2 linked regions of the Lytechinus pictus genome follow. The protein of the gene in region 1 interacts with the protein of each later gene in a pairwise test. Links are inferred from orthologs where the notes say so. Each region holds a gene or a part of one and is shown on either strand. Other genes may lie near its edges.

Region 1 (10,949 bases):
TTATAATTGTGTGTTAGATAGGATATTAAATCATCAATTCTAACAGAAAAGGATTTATCTGCTTGTTGCATAAAATAAAATGGTTTGAATTGATTACAAGCTCTCAAATTCCTAATTACAAATTGGGTCATTCTTGGTTGACAAAAAATTTTAGTATGAAAGAATATTCATTGCTAAAAAAATAATTTATTGAAATGAAAAAGTAAAGTAAATATACAGCTTTGTACGTGACATTTGCGACCAAAATCTGAAAACTATGGCAAAAATAATCTGCTGATTGGCAAGAAGTCTTATAACCATACACTTCATTTCCTACCACTTAGCGCAATCCTATATTTGAACCCCCGACAAAACCATCTCGTGTGCACTCAAGCATGAACAAATTAAAAAAAAAAACATTTTGATTTTGATCGATAAGATTTCAGAGCATCTATGAACATCAAAATATAGACATCATAATTCAAAAGGGTATTTTGATAGACGTTTCATAACTGTCCCGTTTTTATTGATACGCACTGTAAAATTGAATAAAAAGGGTCACCCCCTTCAAAAATACGATAGCTCTCTTCATTTATCAGGAACTTTTTTTTTACATACTCCTCAATATTCTTAAAACTGGAGTATATAGGAGTGTGGGCTACTAAAACTTAAGTACTAGCCCTTTCTTTTTGTTTACAAATTGAGATATATTAACCCCCCCCCCTCCACAAACCCAAAATATATTTCAGGAGCAATCTTCCAATTGTATTTTATAAAGAGGACTTTTAGTTCAAATTTACTCCTCAATATATATAAAAACGTGGAATATATAGGAATGTATATGAGTGTGGGCTACAAAAACTAAGGCACTAGCCCGTTGTTTTTCTTTACAAATTGAAAGAAGGGAAACCCCCCTACACACACCCAAAATATATTTCAGGAGCAATCTTCCAATTGTATTTTATAAAGAGGACTTTTAGTTGAAATTTACTCCTCAATATACGAAAAAACATAGAGTATATAGGGGTGTGGGCTACTAAAACTAAAGCACTAGCCCGTTGTTTTTCTTTACAAATTGAAAAAGAGGAAAACCCCCCAGCACACACCCAAAATATATATCAGGAGCAATCTTCCAATTGTATTTTATAAAGAGGACTTTTAGTTGAAATTTACTCCTCAATATACGAAAAAACAGAGTATATAGGGGTGTGGGCTACTAAAACTAAAGCACTAGCCCGTTGTTTTTCTTTAAAAATTGAAAGAAGGGAAACCCCCCTCCACACACCCAAAATATATTTCAGGAGCAATCTTCCAATTGTATTTTATAAAGAGGACTTTTAGTTGAAATTTACTCCTCAATATACGAAAAAACATAGAGTATATAGGGGTGTGGGCTACTAAAACTAAAGCACTAGCCATTTGTTTTTCTTTACAAATTGAAAGAAGGGAAACCCCCCTACACACACCCAAAATATATTTCAGGAGCAATCTTCCAATTGTATTTTATAAAGAGGACTTTTAGTTGAAATGTACTCCTCAATATAAGAAAAAACATAGAGTATATAGGGGTGTGGGCTACTAAAACTAAAGCACTAGCCATTTGTTTTTCTTTACAAATTGAAAGAAGGGAAACCCCCCTACACACACCCAAAATATATTTCAGGAGCAATCTTCCAATTGTATTTTATAAAGAGGACTTTTTGTTGAAATTTACTCCTCAATATACGAAAAAACATAGAGTATATAGGGGTGTGGGCTACTAAAACTAAAGCACTAGCCCGTTGTTTTTCTTTACAAATTGAAAAAGAGGAAAACCCCCCAGCACACACCCAAAATATATTTCAGGAGCAATCTTCCAATTGTATTTTATAAAGAGGACTTTTAGTTGAAATTTACTCCTCAATATACGAAAAAACATAGAGTATATAGGGGTGTGGGCTACTAAAACTAAAGCACTAGCCCGTTGTTTTTCTTTACAAATTGAAAAAGAGGAAAACCCCCCAGCACACACCCAAAATATATATCAGGAGCAATCTTCCAATTGTATTTTATAAAGAGGACTTTTAGTTGAAATTTACTCCTCAATATACGAAAAAACATAGAGTATATAGGGGTGTGGGCTACTAAAACTAAAGCACTAGCCCGTTGTTTTTCTTTAAAAATTGAAAGAAGGGAAACCCCCCTCCACACACCCAAAATATATTTCAGGAGCAATCTTCCAATTGTATTTTATAAAGAGGACTTTTAGTTGAAATTTACTCCTCAATATACGAAAAAACATAGAGTATATAGGGGTGTGGGCTACTAAAACTAAAGCACTAGCCATTTGTTTTTCTTTACAAATTGAAAGAAGGGAAACCCCCCTACACACACCCAAAATATATTTCAGGAGCAATCTTCCAATTGTATTTTATAAAGAGGACTTTTTGTTGAAATTTACTCCTCAATATACGAAAAAACATAGAGTATATAGGGGTGTGGGCTACTAAAACTAAAGCACTAGCCCGTTGTTTTTCTTTACAAATTGAAAAAGAGGAAAACCCCCCAGCACACACCCAAAATATATTTCAGGAGCAATCTTCCAATTGTATTTTATAAAGAGGACTTTTAGTTGAAATTTACTCCTCAATATACGAAAAAACATAGAGTATATAGGGGTGTGGGCTACTAAAACTAAAGCACTAGCCCGTTGTTTTTCTTTACAAACTGAAAGAAAGGAAACCCCCCAGCACACACCCAAAATATATTTCAGGAGCAATCTTCCAATTGTATTTTATAAAGAGGACTTTTAGTTGAAATGTACTCCTCAATATACGAAAAAACATAGAGTATATAGGGGTGTGGGCTACTAAAACTAAAGCACTAGTCCGTTGTTTTTCTTTACAAATTGAAAGAAGGGAAACCCCCCTCCACACACCCAAAATATATTTCAGGAGCAATCTTCCAATTGTATTTTATAAAGAGGACTTTTAGTTGAAATTTACTCCTCAATATACGAAAAAAACATAAAGTATATAGGGGTGTGGGCTACTAAAACTAAAGCACTAGCCATTTGTTTTTCTTTACAAATTGAAAGAAGGGAAACCCCCCTACACACACCCAAAATATATTTCAGGAGCAATCTTCCAATTGTATTTTATAAAGAGGACTTTTAGTTGAAATGTACTCCTCAATATACGAAAAAACATAGAGTATATAGGGGTGTGGGGTTCTAAAACTAAAGCACTAGCCCGTTGTTTTTCTTTACAAATTGAAAAAGAGGAAAACCCCCCTACACACACCCAAAATATATTTTAGGAGCAATCTTCCAATTGTATTTTATAAAGAGGACTTTTAGTTGAAATTTACTCCTCAATATACGAAAAACATAGAGTATATAGGGGTGTGGGCTACTAAAACTAAAGCACTAGCCCGTTGTTTTTCTTTACAAATTGAAAGAAGGGAAACCCCCCTACACACACCCAAAATATATTTCAGGAGCAATCTTCCAATTGTATTTTATAAAGAGGACTTTTAGTTGAAATTTACTCCTCAATATACGAAAAAACATAGAGTATATAGGGGTGTGGGCTACTAAAACTAAAGCACTAGCCCGTTGTTTTTCTTTACAAATTGAAAGAAGGGAAACCCCCCTCCACACACCCAAAATATATTTCAGGAGCAATCTTCCAATTGGCCCTTATCAGGAAGACATTCATTCTAATTTACTCTTCAATATACAAAGAAACATCCTATATTATATAGGGGTGCGGGCTACCTAATAACCAGAAAATCGTGGTTTTTTTCTTCTTTTTTTTCTTCTTCTTTTCATTATTATTTTTTATTTTTTTTTTTTGGGGGGGGCTTTTGTTTGGCTTTTTCCGGCTCGCTCGCTTCGTTTCTTGCATTAAACAATGCCATTTTCAAGGTAGGAAATGTCCCTTTTCTTCTGTGCCCCCCACTTCCAACTTCGCTCCGCCGCCCCTGAACAGGAGTGCTACTAAGACATGGGAACTAGCCCCTTGTTTGTTTAAACAAATTGAAAGAAGGGTAACCCCACCGTTTGTTTGATTTGTCCTAGAATGCGTGCTATTCTGCGCACGCAAAATCCTGTATCTGATTTATCTTAGATAGCTAATATTGTTGGCTGGAACTGTTGGCTGGCTTGCTGTTGGCTAGCTTATTGTTGGCTGACTCTACTCCAGCTTGGCAGACAGACAGACCAGACCGCGGCCGCCACACAATTCACAACTTGAAAAAAACAAAAAACAATTAGTTAAATGTACGGTACCTCCTCCAACTTTTGAAGAACATCTGCAGCAGTCATCTCTACCTCCTCTTCATCACTAGAGAATTCATTTTCTAAGCTTTCGTCAATTTCTTCAGACATTTTGGTAGTTTTATTTGACTTCTTGGTCTTGGTTTCGTTTGTGTTGCGTTGTCTCAACTTTCGCGCGAATCTTTGCCCAAAGTGCAAGTGACCGTCAGAGGGCGCCTAGGCAGCTCGCAGTCTAAAAAGATGGCAGCTTCCATGAGAAGAATTTTTGGTAAAAGTTTAGGTAAAATGAAATTAAATCTTCACATTTTGCTAATATTTTATTTTTGACAGCGTTTTTCGATTTGATCTATAGTTGAGTTGATATTTTTTAACTTGTTGAATATGGTGGAAGTTTGAATATATTGGTTGATTAAGGGTCTGTGACTGTGTTGTACTGTTCAGCGCACAGCGACTGTTTTCGGCATTTTAATTCTTGTGCTATTTAAATTATTGCAACACGGAATTGTGATTTTTGTACTTGACTTGTGTGTGTAAGAATCGCACGTGCCCATGATAGTAATGTCTGAATGCACATTAGAGGCGCACGGCCAATGTGTGACTTTGCCTTTGGCCTTTGGGAGACTGTCTCCCATGAGTCTGAGAGAGATTATCTCCTATACTCTATATCAGTTCAGAGACTTTAGTTTTGTAAAGAATGGGTATCCTATTTCAGAGACAGTCTCCAATTTGAGAGACCAATTAATTTACATTTATTTTGGCTTGGCCTTTGCCAAAGGCAAAGCCCAAACTGAAACTTTGCTGCAAAAGGATTACATTGTCCTTGACCTTGGCGGCAAATAAAAATGTGATAAGCAGATTCCTCATGAAAAATTAACCCCTTTTTCACTGCTTACTTAAAGAATTCACACTCACAGTCTACTTTGTTTTGAGAAGGATTTTTGTTGTCATCCACACACAAAATTTCAAAACAAATGGGCTTCTGGCCTCAGACTCAGTGAGACAAAATTTTGGGTGGAAAAAATTATGCTTTTGTTGGCGTTGTTTCTTTGGCAAGACTTCCATATGTCCCCTCCACTAAAATTGAAAAAAAAAAAGAAATATGGAGAAGGTTTATCAAGAATTATCTAACATATATCTAAGAGATTTAAGAAGGAAAAGTTGGATACATACCAAAGTATGGCTTTATTCCGTCAGAATTTTGAGTGTGTAATTCCCAATGGCATTGGTTTATTTAGTCAGAAAAATAAATACCCAATACTCTTGGAGAGTAGACTAGTCGTAATATCGGTTGATAACCACTATGAAACCCATGGCTTTCAACAATTCCTGCTAGCTCAGTGAGTAAGGCGATAGACTGGAGATGCTCGTTCTGCAGCGAGAGGTTCGAATCCAAGTTCCAACCGGAAGTAAGAAGAAAAAAAAAAAGAAGAAAAAGAGAACGAAAGAAGGGGGTTTTGGAGAAGTATTTTTTTTAATTAGTGGAGGGGACATAAGGAAGTCTTTCCGTTTCTTTTGTTCTTTTGCAAAGCAAGTCTCCAATATGGGAGACAATCTTCCATATTGGAGACTTGCTTTGCAAAAGAAAGAAAAGTCTCCCATATTGGCCGTGCGCCTCTACTGATGCATGTACCATTTCCAGCGTGTGCATTTTCTTATTACAGCGGGTGTCGTGGTGATCATGCTAAGTCCTTATTCTTGCCTGTTCTGGCTTATACAGCTGCAGCCATCTATTTCGAGGAGTTTTTAAACATTTTAAAAATGTTCTTATTTCTCCTCGTACACAGACAGCACTAGAGGCGCCGCTGGTCCAAAAATTGGGATTGTCCCAGTCCCAGAAAACAAGGATATCCTCATAAACCAAGACAAATCATGTCTTGATAAATTGAGATTGTCCTTGTTTATGGGGACAGTTTTTTATTTTCACTTAACCCTTCAGGACATAGACGGCAATTACGGAGATTAAGAGTGCTAAAAATAGATTCAGTGACCTCAATTCCCCCCAGTTTACCATCTATTTTTCACGACTTGTTGTCTTCCAATAATCTTGTTATGAAACCTGATATGTTTACATTGACTAGCGCACTTGATTGATTTTGGCACTTGACAGGTGAATGAACTTTCCTAGATTTCTTGTGTGGAGAAATCTTTGAAAACTGAGACAGTTCCTGTAAACTGGGACGATCCCAGCACCCCTACTGTAAATCTGAGCAGAAATTGGAAAATAATTATTTTATAATTTTGTTCAATATCTGCCCAGATTTACTTTCCAATATCTAATTATTAAATCAATTGATCCAATTCCCTTAATTTCAGCTGGAACTTGCATCAAGAACATAATTGATCTCTACATTTATCCTAGTCTCAGAAGGTCCATGGTCAGATCTGGCCTGGTCAGACTTGTCTCATGTGACGCATGTGACATTACAAAATCTTATTTTTTAAAATATCATAATCAGTATCACATTTTTTATTTGTTTTCTACATTTATTATAAATAAACAGCCAAAATCAACCCAAGTTAGATAAAGCAAACCAATAAAAATGAATTTTTTGAAAAGAAAAAGAAAATTAGTAATTATTGCATAATGTTGCCTCATGAAATCATGTTTCATTATGATGCTAGCATATATTTTACAAATTAGACAGTCTAATTTGTGATATTATATATATTTATACATGTACATTTTGAGGTCAAATTTAGACCTCAAATAAAGAATGATAAGAAAAATGTCATAAAACTCATGCCACCAACTAGGGTCTTGATTTGGCTGCAAGTTTTCAACATACTTGAAAGCATTTTCTACATAAATATGACAGGAGTAGGCCTACTTTTCTGGCAGTCATTCAAGCAGTAAGCAGAAAAAAATGAGACCTCCATTTGAATTATATTTTTTTGTTTTGTGGGTTTTGAAAAGTATGTCATTGCAATTGATTTTATAAAACATTGTTGATAGTAATTAATTACTTTTGCCATTGACTCAATCCAGGTTAAAGAATTAGAATCATGTGATTCTTTTCAAACATATGTTTTTTGTGTGTACACACACTTATATTTTTATTTTATCCTACAGTTCCACAAATTCAGCAGAAACTGTTGTCACCAGCTTCTACTCCATGGCGTACTGGATGTATCAATCAGAAGAGCATTCAACATGGAGTGGTATCACCACTGACCACTCCCATTAGGGGTGTAACCCTTGCATCCCTGAGGGGTATTGCTTCTGCACCCCTCCACCAGTCCACTGCTATTCAGGAGGATCACTGGAGGAGCTCTGAACTCTCTCAAGTTTGCTCCAGGCTGACTGGGCTAAATCTCCAGGCTCCAGCTCCTAATGTTGCTAGAGGTCAGATCCAGGGAAGGTCCTTCTCAAGCTTGATATGTAGCAGGTACACCGGGGGATTTAGCTACAACGAAATGTAAGTTTTTATCAAATTTTGTGAATACTTTAAGCGTACTTCCAAGTGGGATATGAAGCTACAATATTATAATGAGGCATGAATTATTGGGAACTATTATTGATATGGCATGCACCTGTAAGCCAAGCTACATGGTGAAGTTAAAATTGATGCAGAGGTTCGAGGCTTGAGCCCTAATCACGTCTTTCAGATGGTGATGTTAAAGGTTGGTTCCATACGTAATTAATTATATCTAATTGATACAGGTCTGTAAAAACTCAAACGTATACACACACATACATGTAGTCAAAGAAGTTAGATTTTACTGTTTATAATCCTTTCCTTGGATGCTGAAGTTATGATAACCATTTCTCCCTGTCTGAAACTCTAAAATACTAGCTTTTGCACCTTTACAATATGAGGTATGATTCATTGAAATTTTTATGCCACAATATTTCAATAATGTCATTTCATGTAACTGTAGCTACAGCAAAAATAGATTTTATTGAGAGGGAAATTATGTCCATTAGGTTGATTGGAATAAAGAAGTAAAATAAAACAACATAATTGTTACTATGATTGAAATCAGATAAATTATCTTTATCAGATAAAGATTCATAAATTTGGAGTTATACATGTAAAGATTGTTCTATAAAGCAGTGATATTTATTCATATTCACAGGCTACAATACATGTATGTATTGGAGATTTTATCAACATAAAAATATTGCTTGACTCCTCATGCAATATTCAAGAATTAGTGTAATTTGCTTTGTTGTAAAGGAGAGCAATACAATATTGCTTATCCATATCTCAGAAAAAAAGGGAGAAGCTTGTGTTTTATGTTTGGCAATAATATTCTTTTAGGGATATCTGTGTTGATGAAACATCATTGATGCTTTGGTCCTTTAAATCAGATTAGCTATGAAGGGTTTTGCCTTACTTTGTTTTTTCTTTACTTTCTTTCTTTCTTTCCGGCAGTATAAACCAGAAATTTGTGAAACCTCAAGTATTTAACCATCAACCCAATAGGACAGTGATACGATTCAGTAAAAACAAAGGCAAGAAGAAGACAGTTCATGCAGTGATTGATAGATTCTATAGACTTGACAAGTAGGTCAATTTTCTTTAATATTGTCCATAGCTTGACAAGTTACCATCTGCTATTAAAAGCTTCTATAACACTGTAAAAGATGACAAATTAAAGGGGGGGGGGGGAGTGGCTGTAAAATCTCGGCTGTTGACTGCATGATTTCAATGGAAATTGGCATGCATGTTGCTTGTGACATAATTGCCGAGATTGAATTTTGATTTTTACCCTATTTATACGTATAATAATTTTTCATGAATGCAAAAAAGATTAGTGGTCAGATTAGATCAATATTAAAAAAATTCTTATCTAGTTGCGTTAAAAGATTTGGTTATTGGCAGAGGCATACGTTTCAACTACACATCGTTGAGAATCCATCTTGTTTGAAAAAGGTCAGTTAGAGAGCTGGAAGAGGGGATTTATATTGTTGCTTTACCGATGTTTATAAGGTTATTGTTAGAAATATTTATCATTTTGGGTTGAAGAAAAGAGAAAAATCTGTTATTATTTCAGTGGCCCGACCATGGAGTAGCGTGTATGCAATGCTTTGCTACCGAAGGGAAAAGGCACTGTATCATTATCAAATGACTATTGGACTGGATTAGATTATTAAAACATTGGAGGAGTGTACGTTTCTATGTCGAGATCTACAAGAAAACGGGGGAAAATTGAATTAAAGATGAAATGTTGGAGTCACGGGAAGAGAACACAGGGTTGGAATTATGGAAAGTTACCTCTGAATTTGATTATTTGCAAAATTTTATTTTTCAGTGGTTTGTGGGTGAGGACGCAAGCAGGCAGGGCTAAGAAGCTTTGGAAGAAATCACCTCGACGCAGGTAAGTTATCTCAAAGTTTTTTGTTGTTTGCAGGATATTATCAAAGCCTTTCATTCTCTTGGCAACCAGTTCCTAACAATGTCAAGTCGCCCTTATATCTGTGATTGCAGTGGTTGCCAACGATATAAGTCCCCAGCTCTAACACAATGATATGGCTTGCGCAAGGATTTCTTGTTTAGAAACCATCTCTATAATTCAACAATAGACTGCAATAACCTCACTTTGGTACTCCTTTATACTCCCTGAAAAAATTGCATTAAATCAGGATGAAGGAGAATGAAAAGGAAACTTGTATGCCCCTAAGCAATAGCAGAGTAATGGAATTTTCTTGGTATAATAGAGTAATAAAATTTGAATGTAAATCCTTAAAAAAAAGCTTTAAAAATGCTAAATTGCGGTCTCAACACTCATTTTATCAAAGAACATTAAAAAATGTAGTATAAAAAATATGCAATTTATATATTATCTATTTATTTGTATTTTCATGTACATAAGATATTTGTTATTCATATTTCTTTGTTTATCGACTTATTCATTCATTTATTTCTTGATGGAAATATTTGGCGACACTATTCTGATTATAAAGAGCTATTTTTGTTGGTTTCACCCATTAAATTTACCCCCAAGCTTATTAATTTTTTTTTTTTTTACTGTTCTTGTGTTTTGTATTCTCCAGGCATCGACTGAAGCAACACATCTTCTGCAACAAGACTCAGTCCAAGATGCTCGACAGGATGGTGTCTGGTTATTGGAAAAAGAGGCGCCATTATCTTGATGACCCCTTTGAACAGTATCATGATCGGCACTTTGATGTTATCCCTCCGGGCAGTAACGTCAAAGAACAATAGAGACTTGTCGAGACTTGAGAGAGATTGTTTATCAGGGTGTAGGAAGTGGATTGGAAATCTTGTATCATCACTTCAAGAAGCCTTTGAACAGTATCACCCAGAGGCAATTCAGTGACTTGCTGCATAACTAGTGTAAGCCTCAAAGTTAAAGAGGTTAATTATACCAATAGAATGGATGGAGGATGATAATCTGATGTGATCTCCTATTTGACCTCAGGGCTTTGAGGACTTAGGAGCAGTATCATGAGCGGCACTTTAGCGTTGACCTCCTTGCAAATGAGCCTTGAGGGACACCAAGTCAGAAGATATGCAAAGTGATTGTTTAGAAATAGGGACTGGTATGAATGTGATTCAATAGGAAGGTCTTCACACATGTACTTGTTGTATGTAATTATGAGGAATAACCACAGTTGTTGCATGTCATAACACATGCACGCCACTTAACTTGAAAATGGTCTAAACTCGTAGGGTGGTGTTCTGATAACTATGGTTTAGTTAAACCTTGGTAAACTAGGATCAGTTGCCAGTTGTCAACTTATTCA
Region 2 (9,914 bases), on another chromosome or scaffold:
AGATGAAAATATTATTCTTGAAATGTCTACTTTTTATTTGTCATTGACTAAAAATAAATACATTTTCTTTGAATTTTCTCAATGAAATGAAAAATAAGCAATTTATTAAAATGTTATATTCAAAATCAACTGAAATTGATCGATTTTAGCTGCAAAGGCCCTCAAAAGGCTGATTAGTCGGTGAAAATAAGTTTTGTCGGTAGGTGAAGGCCACCGACAAAATTAGTCGGTGGTTTCCAATAATTTGTCGGAGAAAATCACCGACAAATTTTCATGAAATGGAATTTAGTCGGTGATGGCAAAATTGTCGGTGAAAATGAAATTAGTCGGTGAAAATCACATTTAGTCGGAGAAAACCACCGACTAATTGTTTGATGAAACGCCCCCCGGAAGTAGCATCCTCAGAATACTATTGTAAGGTATACATACTCTCAAATCAGCTTTGCCTCATCTTCGAAATAGAACAAGTGAACATGTAAATGCATGATAGACTAACCTTCAATCACATAACTTCTTAAAATCATTACAACTAGAGTAATGCACCTTGGCACATCGCCTTCCAGGAATCGTTATTTTCAAATATATACATGGGCACAACAACAACAATATCAAGGTTTACTTTGTGTGCAAATTAATTAAACGTATTATCCACTATTTCTAACAGAGAGGGCATTTCCTAATTTATATCACAATAAACAATGTGAAGGGGAAAAAAACCCACTGGATTGGGGGGGGGGGCCTTATAGTAATTCAGATGGTAAATTGCTAATTGATCTGCACCTACTTTCATCTACTTTCTATTTGGTCTCATCCCACACATTATTTTCATAGTTCATCGAATAAACATTTGGTCTGATTGCTAGTTAGGCAATGTACCAATTAGTCTGATAATTCAGTAAGGCAGTTTATCTAATATCCACTTGGTCCAACACTACTCAGTCTATAAAGTTAGATGGATTATTTACGATATATATTTCCTCAGATAATGTAAAAAATAATAATAAGGAGATAAAATGGAAATTAGACCAACTACTAGGCAATAGATCAAAATTAGAATAATTTGGGTTGTAGACCAAACAGCAATTAGACCAAAGTGATAGTGGACCAAATGGGTTTTGCCTATGTGGTATTAGAGACTAACTGAGAATGTAGACAACTGCTTGTTCACCAGGCATAAATATTCACATCTGGACGTTATTTGTGCCTTACTAAAACCCAACAATAGCAACAAGTGAATATAAACCATTCATATCACTCTTCATTTCACAGGCACAGGTAAAGTAAACAAATAATAATGAAACAATTTCAATTCAATTCAGTGTCTCTATTTCCAAATCATTAAAAAAAAACATATTTACAACACATAAGATCATATAAATGCATTTCAAATCCTTAAAAATATACAAATAAATACAGTAGATGACAAATATATTCCATAATTCATTCATGTACAATAAAGTAGATAAGGAAATGGGGGAACTAAAAAAGGCAAAGCTTGTGGGTTAAGAAAATTGCAGCCTAAAATAATGAAAATAAATAATAATTAAAAATAAACGATACTCATAAGTCTCATAACAAACATGTTACCTGTGTGAGATCAAGTCCATCCTGTCCTAATGTTCTCATGTAGGATGCCAATGACTTGTTATACTTTGTAAACCACTGCACCTGTAGAGTAATATAGTCATCATTACATAACAAACTCAGAAAGATACTTTCACATAATTTGAGCTCCTAAAAACAAAGAACCTTAAACTTATTTTCTTGAATATCATCATTACTATTTTAATTTCTATATGCACTGTATGATACGCTTTTCTGAATCTTATCTCCAGAGTAACTCTATCCTTTTAGGCAAATCCTTTGGGGTGTGGGAATAGTCCAAGGAAGCAAGCTTAAAAGATTACATAAAATTTAAAAGGAAATTATTACAGGAATGAAATGAGAAACCTATCATAAAGAAATATCTTATCTACAGAATGTCTCCCTCTATAAACCACTCTGTGTCAACATTCAAATCTATCCTAAAATATAAATCTGATAAATCCTAAGTACACTTTGTTGAATTTATAATTACCTCTTGTTCTGAGAGATTGTATTTGACCTCTGCCGGTAGCACACTTCCAAACTCCCATCTCATATCACGGATCATACACAGTCTGTTGTGCCTAGTAAATGGGAACATCAGTACAGAAACAAATGTTACATTTACACTGGCAATTAACTACCAAATTGAGTGTTTGTAGTATATATTGATAAATTTATAAATTATAGTCAAATATAGCATTGCTTCTGTAATGTCATGTAGTGTCTTGCAAACAAATCCTGTTAGTCACCATACTTGTTAAACAAACTTTTTAACATTCTTGATTCATATTTGGACATTTCAATTCATAATGTTGCAATTAATTTCATATGTGTTTACATTACCAAGGCCTATAGAAAAATGAACAATGAAAGGATGACAGAGTCTTCTATTCCAGCATGAAATAAATTGGGTACTAATTCCAAATCCACATTTTCTCTACTGTATGTTTGAATGAGTGATACTTACAAGTAAGCAAGGAGACATCGCTTGTTTCTTTCAAGACATGTGTGACGAAACTGGACAGCTGGAAGGCGGTCTTTCTCTCCTTGAACTGTCGCCTCTCTGCAACAAACACCAAGGCATAATGAAAGACAGAATCTATACCTACTACTTTTTCTGTCAAATTGAAAACTGTACATTATTTGTTTTATACAACGGGTTAGCACTTAGCAGTATAAATTATTTAAACCCCTCCAAATTTCAAGGGATCGCACAGAGCCAGAGGCCATATCTGCTTTTTATTATGACAAGCATAGCCGGTATGATGCATCCCTGACAAACCACACCAAAATGCACAGGACGGTGGTAATGGGGAAAGGGGGAGTGGAGATCTTACTGAGTACCAATAAAAATCTGAATGCAGACATCAAAAGTTAGGTGACAGATGCTCATGTCATGTGTGTTGAAAATTGAAATCACTTTTATTGTAAAAGAGTCTCATATACATGTTTGTACAAAGCCAGCAAAATAATACTCACACATCGCTTTGGTTTTGATCATAAAGAGCTTTCATTTCTTCAAGAACTTGCCTAACACCTTCTTCCTGCAAAAAGGGGAAAACCATTTAAATTGAACTCAAATTTAGTCTGTTCAATGACAATTATAAAAAAAGATCTAGTACAAATAATTAGGTGAATATCTGATTTAGGAGAGATCAAAACTTATATTGGAAACCCTCTCCTATGGGGAAAGAATAGGAAAATCAAAGAAGGAGGAGAATGATAAGGGGGAGTACATGTAGGAGACCAAGAAGGGGGAGGAGGATAGAAGAGAGGGGAAGGGGAAGAAGAAGAAGAAGGAGGAAGAGGAGAAGAAGAAGAAGAAGAAGAAGGAGAAGAAGGGGAAGGGGGAGGAAGTGAAGGAGGACAAGGAGGAGAAGGAGAAGAAAATGAAGAATATTGAGTCAGTGTCCATTTTATCGTTCAACTGGACTATGTCTTGCTTCATAATAAAATGTGTAAAACTCCTCTAAAGACCAAACTCCAAAAAGATTTCTGTTGTCTAACTTAATATTATAAAGATGCTACACATGTATTGTATTTGTAGATGAACGTCTCCTGGAAAAAAAAACTTTTCCAGCATCACAAAAAAAAAAAGAAAGATGGATGAAAGAAAGGAAAGAAAGAAAGAAAAAGAAAGAAAAAAAAAGAAAGAAAAAAAAAGAAAGAAAAAAAAAAGAAAAAAAAGGAAAGAAAAAAAAATCTGAAAGACTACAACAACGTATAATGCCAAACGCCTTCATAATGATGGAATATTTACTGTGTCTACTTGTTTAGCTACATGGTAAAGTAACATATGAATTTAATTATATCATACATGTATCAAGTCAATGAATCACTCAACAAGTATAGTGAGACCACTACATATCGACCACCTCTTTTGAAACCGACCACCTTGCGCGCATTAAAATTATTGCGTATTACAAACGATACGCGCGGGAGAGTAGGCGCAGTGTCCATAGGAACGGTAAGAATAGATTTTACGAGAGAAAAAGGTAAAAATTTATCAAAATTGTTTTGACTAGACCCGAACCCGCCCCGTTTCCGATAGGAAACGGCTTTAGAACAAATATCCGTCGTCAATCGTCGATTCATGTGCCGGAGCTCGCAGTGGAAGTAGTGAGACGATCATATAGCATGTTGACATCATATCATAGAACTGATTTGGAAGAGTCAAAATATTTCGCCAACGCCACAAGAATCGGCCGTAAACTATTGCGGGTGGTCGGTTTCAAAAGAAGGGTGCAAATTAGACAGGAATAACCATCGTTTCTGGGGATTTATTTAACAATATCTGACATTTTACTATAATTGTGAGTGGAGCCAACGCAGTTCAGTGGAACAACCAAAATACATTACAGAGACTGAAGCTTTTGGTCTAGGTGCAAATTTATGTAAAATCGTCGTATTCGTTGTTCGCTGATATATAATATACGCGGATTGAATCAGAGTCGCCGATCGAAACATGAGAATCTGATCTGCTCAATTTTCTGCACAAATGAAACGGAAACTGGGTAAAACTGATAAATATTTTCGCAGATACGATGCTTAGAAAATTAGGTGGTCGATAAGGGGTAGTTCCAACCATACAGAAAAGGAAGAAACGCAAAAATAAGTTAGTGGGACTGGGATCTACGTCTAACATAAACAGAACCCTCAAAAGGCCGATTATACTCACATTAAAGGGGGCAAGCGACCCATTGACAGCTCTCTGAAGCTCATGGATAAGTTCTATTGCCTTTTCTCCGAACATGATTTCCCGAACTCCTCAGAAAGTTGAATATTCATCTATGATCTAGTTCCAAATTCAAATCAAGGCGCCTTCATGATATTGATATGCAAAATCAGCAGCACAAGCTTTAAGCGCGCCGGTTCGGCGCGGCTGACTAGGCCTAGGGCTAGGCTCGACACTAGCTGGTAAATTTATTTGATGTTCAAGTTTCAACGACGATTTTCCTAGAACACAAAACCGATATCAGCTTGCTGCATTGCCGTTTTTTTATTTTTAATAATCTAGGTCAAGGTGAGTGGATTGGAATTTACTGGTAGATTTACTGGAAAGATATTGAGCTTGAATTTGAATAAGTTCTTCGGCGGTAGGTCTAGTGCGCTTTCGCCTCACCGGTGGGTCAACGAAATAATGTACAACCTTCTCGCTGCTTCACCCCCGCTTCATTGGGGCGCTGGCGTATTGAAACACTGCATTATTTTGGTGGGGTGCGAAAGTGCACTCCCACCTCTCTTTTATTTGTCTAAAAACTCTAACGTTCAATCTAACCTAGGCTCACCTGTTTGGTCGTCATTCCCCGGGGGGGCCACTTACATTGACGAGTGGATACCATGCGCGACCAAAAAAACACGTAAAAAGGATGTCCTTTTCACGATAGGGCACGTTACGTACGTAACGTGATAAGGGTGTCAAAAACACAAAAATAATGAAAAAAGGGTGTCTATTTCGCTAGGAAAATTACGTGTTTAGGGTCGAATTTGCGGGAATGATAAAACAAAATTAAAATGTTTTATAAAGGATGTCCATTTTGCACCAACACTTCGTGTTTAGAGTCCGATTTGCGCGAGGTGTAGAAAGTGGGGTCGTACCAAACCAAATAAGGTAAAGCCGACGACCGAAGGACCCGTAACAATAAAACATTCCTGTACTTGTTTAGGGGTTCATTTCAGGGAATATTTGCCAAGAGTATCGTTTTGTTTCCAATACTTGTTAAGGGTAGGGTTTCACGCGCCAATACTTGTTAAGGGGTGCATTTTCAGAATATGGAAATTACGTGTTTAGGGTGCTTTTCGAGACCCCATGGTCGCGCATGGTATCCACTCGTGAATGGAAGTGGCCCCCCCGGGCGTCATTCTTTACTTAAATAATATCAATGTTTGCTTTGGAATATTGTTTGACTGCTTTGACAAACAATTTATGAGTATTCTTTGGAAATTTTAAATCTGGACACTCATCCAGGTCCAGGAACAAATAAATAAAGGCATGCAATGTCTTATGTTCATGATGTTATAAGATTGAACTTGTAACTTGTGTATCCTAAGTATTAGATCTATTCCTATAACTTATAAGACTAGATCTGTACCCAGGTGTTGTGGGTCGTGTATTCGAACAATAAATTTCAAACAGTCATTTAAAAATTTTGCAAGCAGATAAAAATAAAATTCATTTAGTAGGATGGGGGATCGGGTGTCCGGACACTTTATATTTTTGAAGCCTTCTTTTTTGTCTTTGGATTACACTAAAAATACGAATTCAATAGTTGTAATCATCTTCTATTTTGTTCTCTATAATATTTCCTAACATTTTGTACTAAAAATTGATGAAATTTCGCTTGTAATTTTTTCCAAATGACTTTCTAAAATTGATCGTCCGGACACACAACCTGTCCGGACACACAACAACTGGGTATACAAAGTGTTCTAATTAAAGAGAACATAGGCTGATGATCGAGGATTAGCTGTCTACAATTTTTCAATTCATTGTTTATGTTTCATCTACAGAGAAAAGAGGAGGCTTTAATAATAAGTGTCCGGACACCCAACCCTTATGAATATTTAGTCATAGGCATAGCATAAATCTATGTGCCGATTTATTTATTTGTGATGGAATTTAAATGAATTTGAATGCTGTCAGAGATGCAAAGTTAAAAAAAGACCAGCTTCGGAGCGATACTGTGTAATTTAGGCAGGGATATCTCCAGGCATTATGTGTATTGTAGACTATATTGAGGATAGGCTGTGACACAGTTGTAAGAAGGAGATTTGGAGGGATGAGCAAGAGTTCGTAATGTAGTCTCCTGCTCCTAAATATATGAGACTTGGCTTGTCTGAATTGTATTTGATATCATTGAATATGTGAAAGGTGTTCAGTAAATAAAAAAAAGAATGTATATAAACTATAATTGATGGTCGATGAAACCAAAGTTGATATATTGCTTACATAATTGAGTGATAAATTTGAGTGAGTGAAATAAATGTTTGTGTTTGTATTTTTATATTGAAGGTATGCATGATGATGCAGTCTCCGGTAGATTTACCCAAGCCCAATACGGAAAGCATCCAAGCTCCAGAAAATATAGAATTGATATCTGCTCCACAAATAGACACTACAGACGAACTTTTGAACGCACAGCAACGAATGTTTGAGAACATTGCGCTCAGCAATGCCCACATCAAAAACCTGCAACGAGACGATGTAGACCTGTCATTAAGTGAAAGGGTAAAAATCCTCTCTGAACAGTTCCATCACTCTCCTGCAGTATTCATTGAAAAGTTCCACCCTTACCTGTGTGAAGACGACCTTGTGTGTTTCGAACCTTCCTCCGATGTGTACGAGGTGTCGTTTTATCTCAAGATGACTAAGAGGAGACTTAGTACTGGAAATAACTCTGTGGTAGTGAAAAACCGACGGTATGAAGCACTAAAGAAGCTGGAGAAGGAGGGGACTTATTTCAGCGATGATGAGATGAGAGCGAGGGAGCCTCTGATGTATGAACAGCTCATTGGACAGTACTTGACAGACGAAGAGCGTGCAGAAACCAGAACAAAGGTTGACATGACGGACTTAAAGTTTTCAACAATCCTCATGACATTCATGCAGGACCAGGAAACAAAAGAATTGTATAAGAGACAACAAGATAAAGAAGAAGAGGCAGAAGAAGAAGAAGAAGAAGATGATGATGATGATGACGAGATTGATGGAGATAAAAAAGGTGATCTCTTACTTCCAGATATTGGTAAATTGTAAAGATATTCATTGGCTAGCAAAAACAAAGAAAATCATGCTAATACTTGATGAATGTATCAATATTAAGATAATCACTTTGTTCTTCATATGTTTCTTCAGTATTAATTGGTAATTTATGTAATTTGTTGATTGTCAAATGTGTTTCATTTCTGTGGAGCTGCAGCAAATATCAAATCATGACCATCTTAAGAACTATCATGTTCAAAATGAACAAGTCCTAATTGAACATAAGTAATCTGGTTTTGTTTTCCTTCACTTATAAAGATATAATAATACTTTTATACTAAGTTTGAATTGAAACACTCATTTATCTTTATTATGTTCAGGTCAGTCCACCGCCCTGGCTCAACCCTCACAAAATTCTGTCGGGAAAGAAGATGATGAGGATGAAGAAGAGGATGACGAAATGATGGATGATGAGGATCAAGATGGTGCAGTCTTTAGCCCTCGTCAGCCAACTCCTGCCACAGAAGCAGAGAAGCATCTCTTGAGAGAAGAGTTCCAGAACCTAATGAGAGAGAGGTTCCTCAGTGGAGGCGATCAAGACTTTGATTACGCAGCAGTTGATAACAATGAGGAGTACGATTCCCTCGCGATCCGTGCGTGGGACGAGGAAGAGAAATACTTTGATGATGAGGACGCAGCCGATGCTGATGAAGGACACAGAATAGAAGAACAAGGAAATTCAGGTAGAAGTGATAGGTTCGCATCAAGGACAGACAATGAGGAATTGGATGATTACGAAAAGTGGACACCAGAGGAATCATCTATGGAATAGTAGCATGCTGATGTAGCTATTGGAAAAAAATGGGACCAACACATATCAAATCAAGTATTTTCTTGCCTCTACTGCAAGAACTAAGAAATCATTTGAGAGGTTAACTTGGTTCATCTTGGAGGGATAATGTAATTTCTTAATGATCAAATCAGCTTTTATTTTGGAGAGGGGGGGATCATGAGGTGAAGTCAAAGGATACTGACGTATGTATTAAGTTGCCTTGTTCTCCTCAGAAGGGGAGAGCTGTTTCGGGGGTCAACTGCAATTTGGGTTCATCATGCATATTGGAGGGACAATGATCTCTTAGCATTTGGAGGTTAAAATGAGCAGTACTTTCGTATTTATTTTGTTTATACCCTGTACATGTACTTATAGTGGCTTGCCCATTTTACTCCTTGTAAAATGTGCATGTTACACCATACATAAAACCTAACCTCAAAAACTAAATAAACCCTGATCATTATCTTAACATTATTCCGGACCAAAACTCTATTGCAATCCTAACTTTTAAACCTATGCCCTCTAAGATATTAAGACTGAAACAAATGTTGCAGGAGCATATGTTGTGTCAACTGGAAGGGGGGGGGGGGGCTCATGATTGAACTTATGAAACATGGAATGGCTTCCAGTCCTGTCAGTCCCTTGAAAAAGAATTGTGTATATATACATGTATATATCATGACATATTTTAATAAAATAGCTCATTTAATGACATTATGCTCACTTTGTTATGTATGATCAGTTTTATTTTTTAAGCTAATTCATTTGTGCACTGAACTGGTCTTTAACCCTAAAAGGCCTGGGGGGCAGAATTCGCCCCCTCTACATTTTTCACGATAAATCCGCCGCTGGAAATTTTTCAACTGCGCCACTCGCTGACTTATTACTTTCAAATCTCGCGCAACTTTTGAGATCAAATTTACGATGCCCGGGTACGCGATTACGAAATCACGTAACATTATGTAAGTGCATGTCGGACCCAAAACTGCTCAAAAATGTGAATTCATGTACAAATCCAAAGCAAATTGTGTATTTAGCCAAAATTCATAAATGTATCATTATTTCTACTTTGACTGATTAAATTTAATTAATTTTGTCTTATGATCAAAATTAAGTCTGCAACAATTTCCATCGAAAAAACAATAAAAACAAAAAGTAAAAAAACAAAGAAATACATAAGAAATTTAAAAAAAACAATAAAATACATAAGAAAAAAATTGCAATACCAAATTTTTTTTTAGTACATTTGATCGGGATCCTACAAAGAGTCTGTGAATAAAAAATTAGCAGTTT

What was found. The genes of interacting proteins can lie anywhere in the genome.
Region 2: the proteins of DNA replication complex GINS protein SLD5-like (region 1) and DNA replication complex GINS protein PSF1-like interact in a two-hybrid assay, tested with the Drosophila melanogaster proteins (2 studies listed by BioGRID). The link is inferred for Lytechinus pictus from reciprocal best matches to the Drosophila melanogaster genes Sld5 and Psf1.

The regions. Positions count from the first base shown.
Region 1 is NC_087256.1:9,159,147-9,170,095, forward strand, and holds the start of DNA replication complex GINS protein SLD5-like, read right to left. Parts: upstream 4,349-10,949; coding exon 4,250-4,348; exon of another isoform or gene 4,164-4,249; intron 1-4,163. Other genes in the region: large ribosomal subunit protein bL35m-like, read left to right, coding at 4,478-4,517, 7,308-7,653, 8,614-8,745, 9,494-9,559, 10,236-10,407.
Region 2 is NC_087251.1:34,119,739-34,129,652, reverse strand, and holds the start of DNA replication complex GINS protein PSF1-like, read right to left. Parts: upstream 4,941-9,914; 5' UTR 4,841-4,940; coding exon 4,766-4,840; exon of another isoform or gene 4,706-4,765; intron 3,132-4,705; coding exon 3,067-3,131; intron 2,651-3,066; coding exon 2,555-2,650; intron 2,169-2,554; coding exon 2,078-2,168; intron 1,669-2,077; coding exon 1,570-1,668; 3' UTR 1-1,569. Other genes in the region: coiled-coil domain-containing protein 97-like, read left to right, coding at 7,106-7,808, 8,170-8,621.